Linked DNA regions of Nothobranchius furzeri. The protein of the gene in region 2 interacts with the protein of the main gene of each other region in a biochemical or structural test. Links are inferred from orthologs where the notes say so. Each region holds a gene or a part of one and is shown on either strand. Other genes may lie near its edges.

Region 1 (4,523 bases), on a different chromosome or scaffold from region 2:
TCCAAAGCTTAGGAGCTGCCACAGCAAAGGCCCTATCACCACGTGTCTTTAGGCGCGTTCTTGGGACCGAGAGGAGCATGAGGTTCTCCGAGCGGAGTGACCGTGCAGGGGTGTGTGGTTGAAGCAATGACACCAAGTAAGGAGGGGCCAGACCATTTAATGTTTTAAAAACCAGCAAAAGTATCTTAAAACGAATCCTTACATCAACGGGCAGCCAGTGAAGCGCAGCCAGGACAGGAGGAATGTGGTCATACTTGCGCCTGCCCTCTAAAAATCTGGCAGCAGCATTCTGCACCATTTGCAACCTGGCTATTGAGCGCTTGCTCACACCGAATAAAACAGAGTTACAGTAGTCCAATCGCACCGCAATAAAAGCATGGACTACCGTCTCAAGATCATGTCGTGACAGGAAAGATTTGATCTTTGACAGCCGACGAAGGTGGAAAAAGGAGGAGGAGATCACTCCATTGATGTGGGTGTCAAAACTAAGGGCGCTATCCAGTTTAACACCAAGATTAGTCACTGAAGCACTCAGCTGGCCATTAAATGACCCACAGTCAGTCAGGGAAGAGTCAGAATGTCTGCTCGGAGCAAACAATATCGCCTCTGTTTTCTGATCATTTAGACTCCGAAAATTTCCACTCGTCCAGGTCATGATCTCCGTCAAACAGTTCGTAAGAATAGAAATAGAGAGACCACCTGACGTGTTCAGAGGCAGGTACAGCTGACAATCGTCAGCATAAAGGTGGACGTGAACTCCAAGCTCACGACAGATGTCACCAAAGGGCAGAATGTAAATAGAAAACAACAGAGGACCCAATATCGAGCCCTGTGGTACCCCCCAGGGTAGATCAGAGTATTCTGAGGAATAACTTCCCATCCTTACACACATATTTCTATTTGTCAGGTATGATCTGAACCAATCCAGGGCTAACCCAGAAATCCCGACATAATGATGGAGACGGTGAAGCAGCACTTCAGGAATAGCTGCTGCCTATGCCTATGTATGTATGTCTGCTCTCAGAATCGTGTGAACTGAAACTCTAATTTCCCCCTGGGATTAATAAAGTATCTTTGAATTGAATTGTAAGGTCCAGCAGAAGTAACAACACAGAATTACCGCCATCAGTAGCTAGATAAATGTCAATGAGCACTCTAACCAGTGCAGTCTACTTCTGTGCTACTACTGATGTCATCTCTTCTCCTCTTTTGTAGTTCTTAAACATCGAGTATAAGATGCAGCAACACCAGAGTCTGCACATGATCACTTTTGTTCTGTATCATCGAAAGCTTTTGAGGATCTTGCAGAAACACGCAATAGACGTGCTTCACACTCAGCTGCAAACTGCTCCAGCAAAAGCTGGAGATCACGTTCTGATGAAGCCAACAGGAACACATCATCTGCAAATGCAGAGACCTGATCCTCAGGCCACCAAAACAGGAGCTCAACTTACTGCTGGCAACATGGACCAAGCTCTGGCACCGGTCATACAGGGACCTAACAGCAGAGGGCCTGGTGCCCCATACTCCAGGAATACCCCCCTCCCCCCTTCCCTGGGGCGTGGTCAAACACCTTCTCCAAATCTACAAAACACGTGATGGTACAGTAATCAGACTACTTTCACTCCCCATCTGTCAGGATGATGGCTCACACATCTCATCTCACTGAACAGTTCAGTGCATCAGCATCGCTACGGCAACGTGTCAGAATTACATCACCGACTAGAAAGTGTCTGAGGGTTTGTCCTCTCACTGAGGACAAGTGGAGACATTTATGTTCCAGATGGACGAGTTGAGTCAGTGTCAATCTGTAACTCGTCACTCTGGTTCAGACACCCGATCAGCATTCAGCGCACCATCCTCAACCACAGCAGTGTGACCCGACCTGATCGGACCTGACAGACAGGCCTTAACTGAGCCAACACCTCACCAGGAAGGAAGTCGACTTCCTGCAGGTTCTATGGTGCAGCAGGAACCCACACCTGAACCAGCAGCATCAAGCAGCTAACGTTTATAAAGAAACAGATGATGAAACACGTTCTGATGTTCTGATCAGCCACGAGGAAACGGTCCAGCAGGAAAACCTAACCCAGCTCTCATTGACGATCTGGAACGTTTTGGTGTGGAGAACACGTAGGACGTTCTGATGCTCGAGATGCTTCAGGCGTGAGAGAGGTGCTGCAGTCTGGAGTTTTACTCACAGGTGGAGCAGCTAAACTGCCCCGCCTGATATCAAAACGTCAGTAGAAATGCTTCTGGTTGTTTTAAATCCCAACGGAGACAGAAATGAAAGAGAAAGGGGCGGAGAAGAAAGGAAGAGGTGGCGGGGAAGAGTTCACAAAAATAAACAATAAAGGATGGACAAGAATCCGCTTCTAGACCTGCAGAGACTGGGGATCGGGACTATGGATCAGGACTATGGATCAGAACCGATCAGGACTGGGGATCGGGACTAGGGATCAGGAATGAAGATCAGGACTATGGATCAGAACCGATCAGGACTATGGACCAGGACTGGGGATCCGGAATGAAGATCAGGACTATGGATCAGAACCGATCGGGACTATGGACCAGGACTGGGGATCAGGAATGAAGATCAGGACTATGGACCAGGACTGAGGGTTTTACAGGTTTCAACAAGCAGCAGAATAAAACCTTTCCGGTCCAAACGAGCCCGAACATCGAACGCAGCTGCAGGCCGCCTTCAAGCAGCTTCACACACCTGTTGCTACCTGCGAGCGCACGCACACTCACTCTCTCCTTCTCTCTCTCTCTCACACACACACACACACACACACACACACAGAGAGAGAAAAGCTCTCACCGTTAATGAGCGGGTTGGTCTCCATGTTTAGTCCCGGTTCTGGTCCTGCCTATGAACTCACACCTCCTCCATGCTGCTGTGTATTCTCCTCCTTGGGGTTGTGTTGTTGTTGTTGTGTGTTTGTGTGCGGAGCTGTCACTGTGGAGCTGAGGGGGAGGAGGAGGAGGAGACGTTCAGCAGCTTCTCTCCCGACCTGCAGGCGTTATGTAACCGCTCCGAGCTGCCGCTGCCAGGCTCCATGCTAACACGGACAGAACCAAAATCCAGACCCAAAGCGTGCACAAAGCACGGCCACACCACCGGAGACGATGATGTTCCACCAGTCCACCGGAACTCACCCCCAGGGGCTGAGAAGGCGCTCGGCGTCAGCGGAATAAAGTGAACCGAAACGTTTCATCCGCTAACAAACCTGCTGCTCTCCGGGATTAAATCCTTTATCCGGAGAAATAAAAAAATAAAAAAAACTTCCTTATCCTTATCCTCTCGTCGGTTTTCAGTGCGAGTGTCTGAACAATCGGCTGCTGGTGGCTTTTAAAAAGTTTCAACAAGTTCAAGGTCCAGCGAGAGCAGCAGCAGTTAGCCTAGCCTAGCCTAGCCCGCTGCCCCCGCCTCTCCTGCTGCGTCAGTCCCGAAACAACGCTGCTCACTGCGGATACGCGCCCTAGAGTTCCGCGGGGCCGAGCACAGTTCTCCGCGACGGAGGAAAAGTAGTCCGTGGGGTCCGTCCAGATGTTTGTGGACCGGGTTCGGAGTGACCGACCGAACTTCAGAGAGTTTTCACAGTTTGTTCCTGTTTACTCCTCTTCACCTCTCTTCTTCACGGTCAAAGTAACGGCGGTTTAAACCGGCGCGCTTCCGGTAGGGACTTTCAAAATAAAACGTTCAGTTAGCAGTCATTGTGAAGCACACAGACTTTATAACAGCTGTTAGGATACAGGTTAGAGGTTAATAAATAAAAAAGAACCAGGGAGCTGGTTTGGTGCTAAATCTCACAAAATAAAAAAACGACAATTAGATAAACTTTATTCTTTTAATTATTCATTTCAGGGTGTGAATAGGTGAATCACTAATATGTTATAAAGCGCCTTGGGGGCTGTAAGAATCTGTAAGTGCAAGCCATTTACCATTAATTTGTACTTGTTTTGTCACCTCTGTCAGTGTGACCCAGGGCATCTGTGGCTACATCATAGAGCATCCCCACCAGCATGTGAATGGGTGAATCACTGATTGTGTTGTAAAGCGCCTTGGGGGGTTCCAGGACTCTAGAAGGCGCTATTTCAAATGCAGGCCATTTACCATTTTTTTTGTTTGTTTTACCAAAACAGGTTACACTCTTGATTTGGAGAATCTATGGGTGAAACTCAAAAAATGAAAACATTGCACAAAATTTAATTTATTTCAGTAACGGGAAAAGGGAGCCCAAACAAAGTCTTTAGTATAAATGCATGATAATGCTTTGTCAGCCCTTCTGTAAAAACAATCAGGGTTTTATTGATTTAAACTCATTTTACTGAGATTTTAAATTTGGGGTAGAGGTGTTGTAAGCCATAATAATCACAATTCTAACAAATATAGGGTTGAAAGGTCCCACTTTGCATGTAACGAGTGTCATGTCATGTATTAGTTTTATCTTTTAAATAATTACTGAAATTAATTAACTTCGTACCGTATTAAAACATTTTGAGCAACCCCTAGTGGT
Region 2 (3,815 bases):
ATGGAGACGGGAGCTACGTCTGACATACAGAGAAAAGCATTCAAGGAGCAGTATGGAAGATTCTAGTGAGATTTTTATGGTGAGAAAACCCCAAAAGAGTCTAATGTTTCAGTTATTTTGGAAGGAGGGTTACACTGAAACTGAATACTGATGTTTCATATCCAGCTGGCTGTGGGGTTTTCAAAACAAACAAGGGAGGGGCGTAACTACTAAATACATAAACAAACTACTGTTTACCATCAGTGAGTGTGGGGGTGCCACATCTCCTGCGAGCTAATGCTGCAGCGCCGACGATTGTAATTTTACGACGACCGACAAAAAGCTCCACAGCTGTTTAAAGTGGTTGCAGTAGCCAAATTTTTTATCACAGGATGTCCTTTTATTTCATTTCTACTTATTGCACCTTTAACTCAGGCATCTTTTTCTCGTCTCTGCTAGAGTTCTCTACTCACCCCCGCCAGCCACTGGATTGTTTAGGCTAGGTTGGACTGTATGCATGACAAGCTTCCCTCATGATGGACGGTGTCCCAACACTCACACGGGAACCCTGATCCACCTGCCTCGTTCTAACAAAACAAACTAGTGCTGGTCTCTTAGCCCCAAGAGCCGCAACATCACCATCAACCGCCCAAACGGACACCACATGATGCAGGATGGGTAGTTTTGGTCAAACGTTTCCCTTCCACTTGCTCATATCTAAATCCATACCCCCTCTTCATATCACTAAAGCGGTTGGGGGTGGGGTTGGAAGTGAGGGGGGTGAAATCACAGGACTCCAAAGACAGCTGCAGCTTATAAGGAATGTGAGGGGCCTCAGCCAAGAGCGCAGGCAGGGAAACCATACCATATATGGCAACAGAGGCAGAATCTAATTTTTATCAATGAGCAGTGCGGGCTGGAGAGTGGATTAACATGCAAAGGTTGATCTCCCATCCCTGACGGAGGATGGGGCGCGTTAGTTAGCTCCTGTAAAAACAGCACGTGGCCAACCGGGCCTCGCAAGTGTCCCGTCTTCAAAGAAGCACGCTCGAGGCTGTGTCAACAGTGGAGGGGAGTTGGGTTGTTCTGAAGGTGAGCACACAACGGTGAGCATGATGGAGCGTCTCTACGTCAAACTTTTAAGAGTTCGCTAAAGTTAAAACTTTATGCCAAAACAAACCCAATAAAAGTTAGAAGAGATTTAGCATTTTTAATTAAACCTAAAGTGAAAAATCCCCGCACTCAACGCAGCACAGGTTTAAGAATTAAACCGTTATCCCTGAACAAAGAAGAGCTCCATCCTAAAACGTAAAACAAACAGCAGGCTGTATGGTCCTCACCCTAACACAGGCCAGACCTGCGCTGATTTATGCTCAGGGGTGTTGGGAGGTTCTCATGGGTGAAAGGTCAGCGAGGTAAAGTGTAGACTGCTTGATTCACTAAACCCTCCACATCTTATCTGACTCTCCTTTGGTCTGCAGGCCTTTGATGGACTAGAAAGTGATGAAAATCTAACGAGCCCAAACCAGAAACATACTACAAATCTGTTTACAAGAGGGATTTTTATTTCCACTGCCGTTTGTGGGTCTGATTTATTTGCTCCCTTGTCTGCTGGCCTTTTCTGGAGAGAGTTCCTATTCTATTCATTAGTAACTCACTACGGTGTTCCATCTTTCTTCCCTCAAACTCCCCCTGCAACATCTGTCTCCATTAGAGACTTGCTTGGTTTTAACAGAATCTATTTTGGGCAAAAACACTGTTGTTTATAGTTTAACAGCTGCCAGACATTACAGTCATGTCCCACTTCCTGTTCTCACCTTAGAGTCACCCATGGTCTCTGACTCGGACACCTGGTAGGTGAGATCCGTCTCCTCGAAGCCCATGGCGCTCATGCGCTGGTCCATGGAGGGGTCGGAGCGGGGCGGCGAGTCAGGAGAGTTGAGGCACGTTTGGATCAGGGCTTTGCCCGTTTCACTCGTGATCATGGGCTGGAGCTTTCGGGTTGCAAAAGTGTACACGTGACCCGTTTCGCTGGCCACGAGTAGCAAAACCTGGGTTCCCGTCAGGGTGGAGAGTTCATAGGCCTGGGAAGAGATGAATAACAAATAAATGTCATTTGATTTTGGTCAAATTTAGCTTTTTCTTAAAATGTGATTTATAGATAAACTGACATGGACACGGAAATAACTTGAAACGTACAAAAGTAATCAGACAAAATAAAATAACTGAAACTGTAAAACTGGCTTTAACTTAACGGATGGCACCCCTAGAAAAGACCATAAGAACACTTTAACAGACGGCTCCTTTAATCAGCATCAGGGGTGTTTGGTCTGTTTAAAGGCTAAAAAGTAGTCACAGTGCTGTTTGGTATCCGGGTGTGTACCACACTGGACATGGACCACCAAAAGCTGAGGGCAGAGTTGTCTCAGGAGAGTGCAAAGACAATTGTTGACCAGCATGTTAAAGGTAAAGGCTAGAAGACTATTGCCAAGTAGCTTAATGTCCCTCTGGCTTTAGTTGGACGTGTCATTCAGTGGTTTTAGGTCCACAGGACTGTAGACAACCTCCCTGGAAGTGAATGCATGAAAAGAAAAAGAAAAAAGAAAAACTGAAGAAAGGCTAATATGAGATGGATCAGAACAAAATACACAACTGTTCCAAATGTCCTTCAAACCTGAGACAAAGAAAGTTGATTTTCTGTAAATTCTTACTTTGGCCAGGATCAGTGTTTCGGGGATTAGGGATGTAAGAAAATATCGATATGGCAATATATCGTGATATTTTTTCTAACAATATTATATCGATATTAAAAAAAACCGTGTATCGGAAAAATCGATATGGCAATATATCGTGATATTTTTTCCTGCGATTATTACATCGATATTCAAAAGCCGTGTATCTAATTCTTGAAAGAATTTACATGCAAACTTTTGTGTATTTTCTTTTTGTTTTGTGCAATTCGATCGCCACCCGCTAGTTGGCAGCAGTGTGCAACAGGTTTTGTTTCCACCATTGAACTGTAACTTCCTCCATCATGGTTCAGATACTTCATGTTAAACATGTTACGTATCAGTTTGGACTGTTGAACATTCTTACAATAAATTCAGTAAAAAAAATGCTTGTAACGTCTGACTGAATGTATCGCAATATATCGTGATATATCGTATCGTCTCCCCTGTATCGTGATATGTATCGTATCGCCAGAATTTCAAAAATACACATCCCTGTCAGGGATAATTGTGGGTTTTTTCACTACTTTAACCAGAAGGTACCAACAACCTTTTCCACATCCGCAGCTAAAGAAAAGTTGGCTTGCTGTACCTGAGGGGGAAAGGATCCAACACTAGAATCTATACATACTCCTGAGGTGAACTGTGACATATTCCACAAATAACACTGAAAAAGGAGATAAGATTCCCAGAATAGAGTGTGTGTGACAGAGCTGAGAGACAGCAAAGGTCTGGTCTGCAAAGGCAAAGGGGGGTGGGTGTAGTAAAACCACAGATGATGGAGGACATGAGGTAGCTGGTTCATTACAACACAAGAAAACGCAGTGAATCTAAAACCTGCTGAAATTCAACTCCATCCGAAAACACCCCGACACTGCACTCCTAACGAACTCCCGAGAAAGCTTTATTTTCTCCAAATGAGTCATTGGTTTTGCGGAGGATGACTCTGGTGCTTGTGAAGGCACGGTGCCATCACCGTTAGCTTGGCTCGCACAACAAAAGACGAAGTTGACAGATGAGCCGCTGTAAGCTGGAGTACAGCCTTCTGTCAGACACTGAGGAGATTAATCACATTCAAATTTAATGGGCAGCAATAAACCCACAAAT

What was found.
Region 1: the proteins of serum response factor (region 2) and elk1 form a complex in vitro, tested with the Homo sapiens proteins (2 studies listed by BioGRID). The link is inferred for Nothobranchius furzeri from reciprocal best matches to the Homo sapiens genes SRF and ELK1.

What each region holds. Positions count from the first base shown.
Region 1 is NC_091755.1:47,140,586-47,145,108, reverse strand, and holds the start of elk1 (ETS domain-containing protein Elk-1), read right to left. Parts: upstream 2,969-4,523; 5' UTR 2,850-2,968; coding exon 2,825-2,849; intron 1,455-2,824; exon of another isoform or gene 1,216-1,454; intron 1,005-1,215; exon of another isoform or gene 908-1,004; intron 1-907. UniProt on the Homo sapiens protein: Transcription factor that binds to purine-rich DNA sequences. Forms a ternary complex with SRF and the ETS and SRF motifs of the serum response element (SRE) on the promoter region of immediate early genes such as FOS and IER2.
Region 2 is NC_091752.1:3,822,687-3,826,501, reverse strand, and holds part of serum response factor, read right to left. Parts: intron 2,064-3,815; coding exon 1,797-2,063; intron 1-1,796. UniProt on the Homo sapiens protein: SRF is a transcription factor that binds to the serum response element (SRE), a short sequence of dyad symmetry located 300 bp to the 5' of the site of transcription initiation of some genes (such as FOS).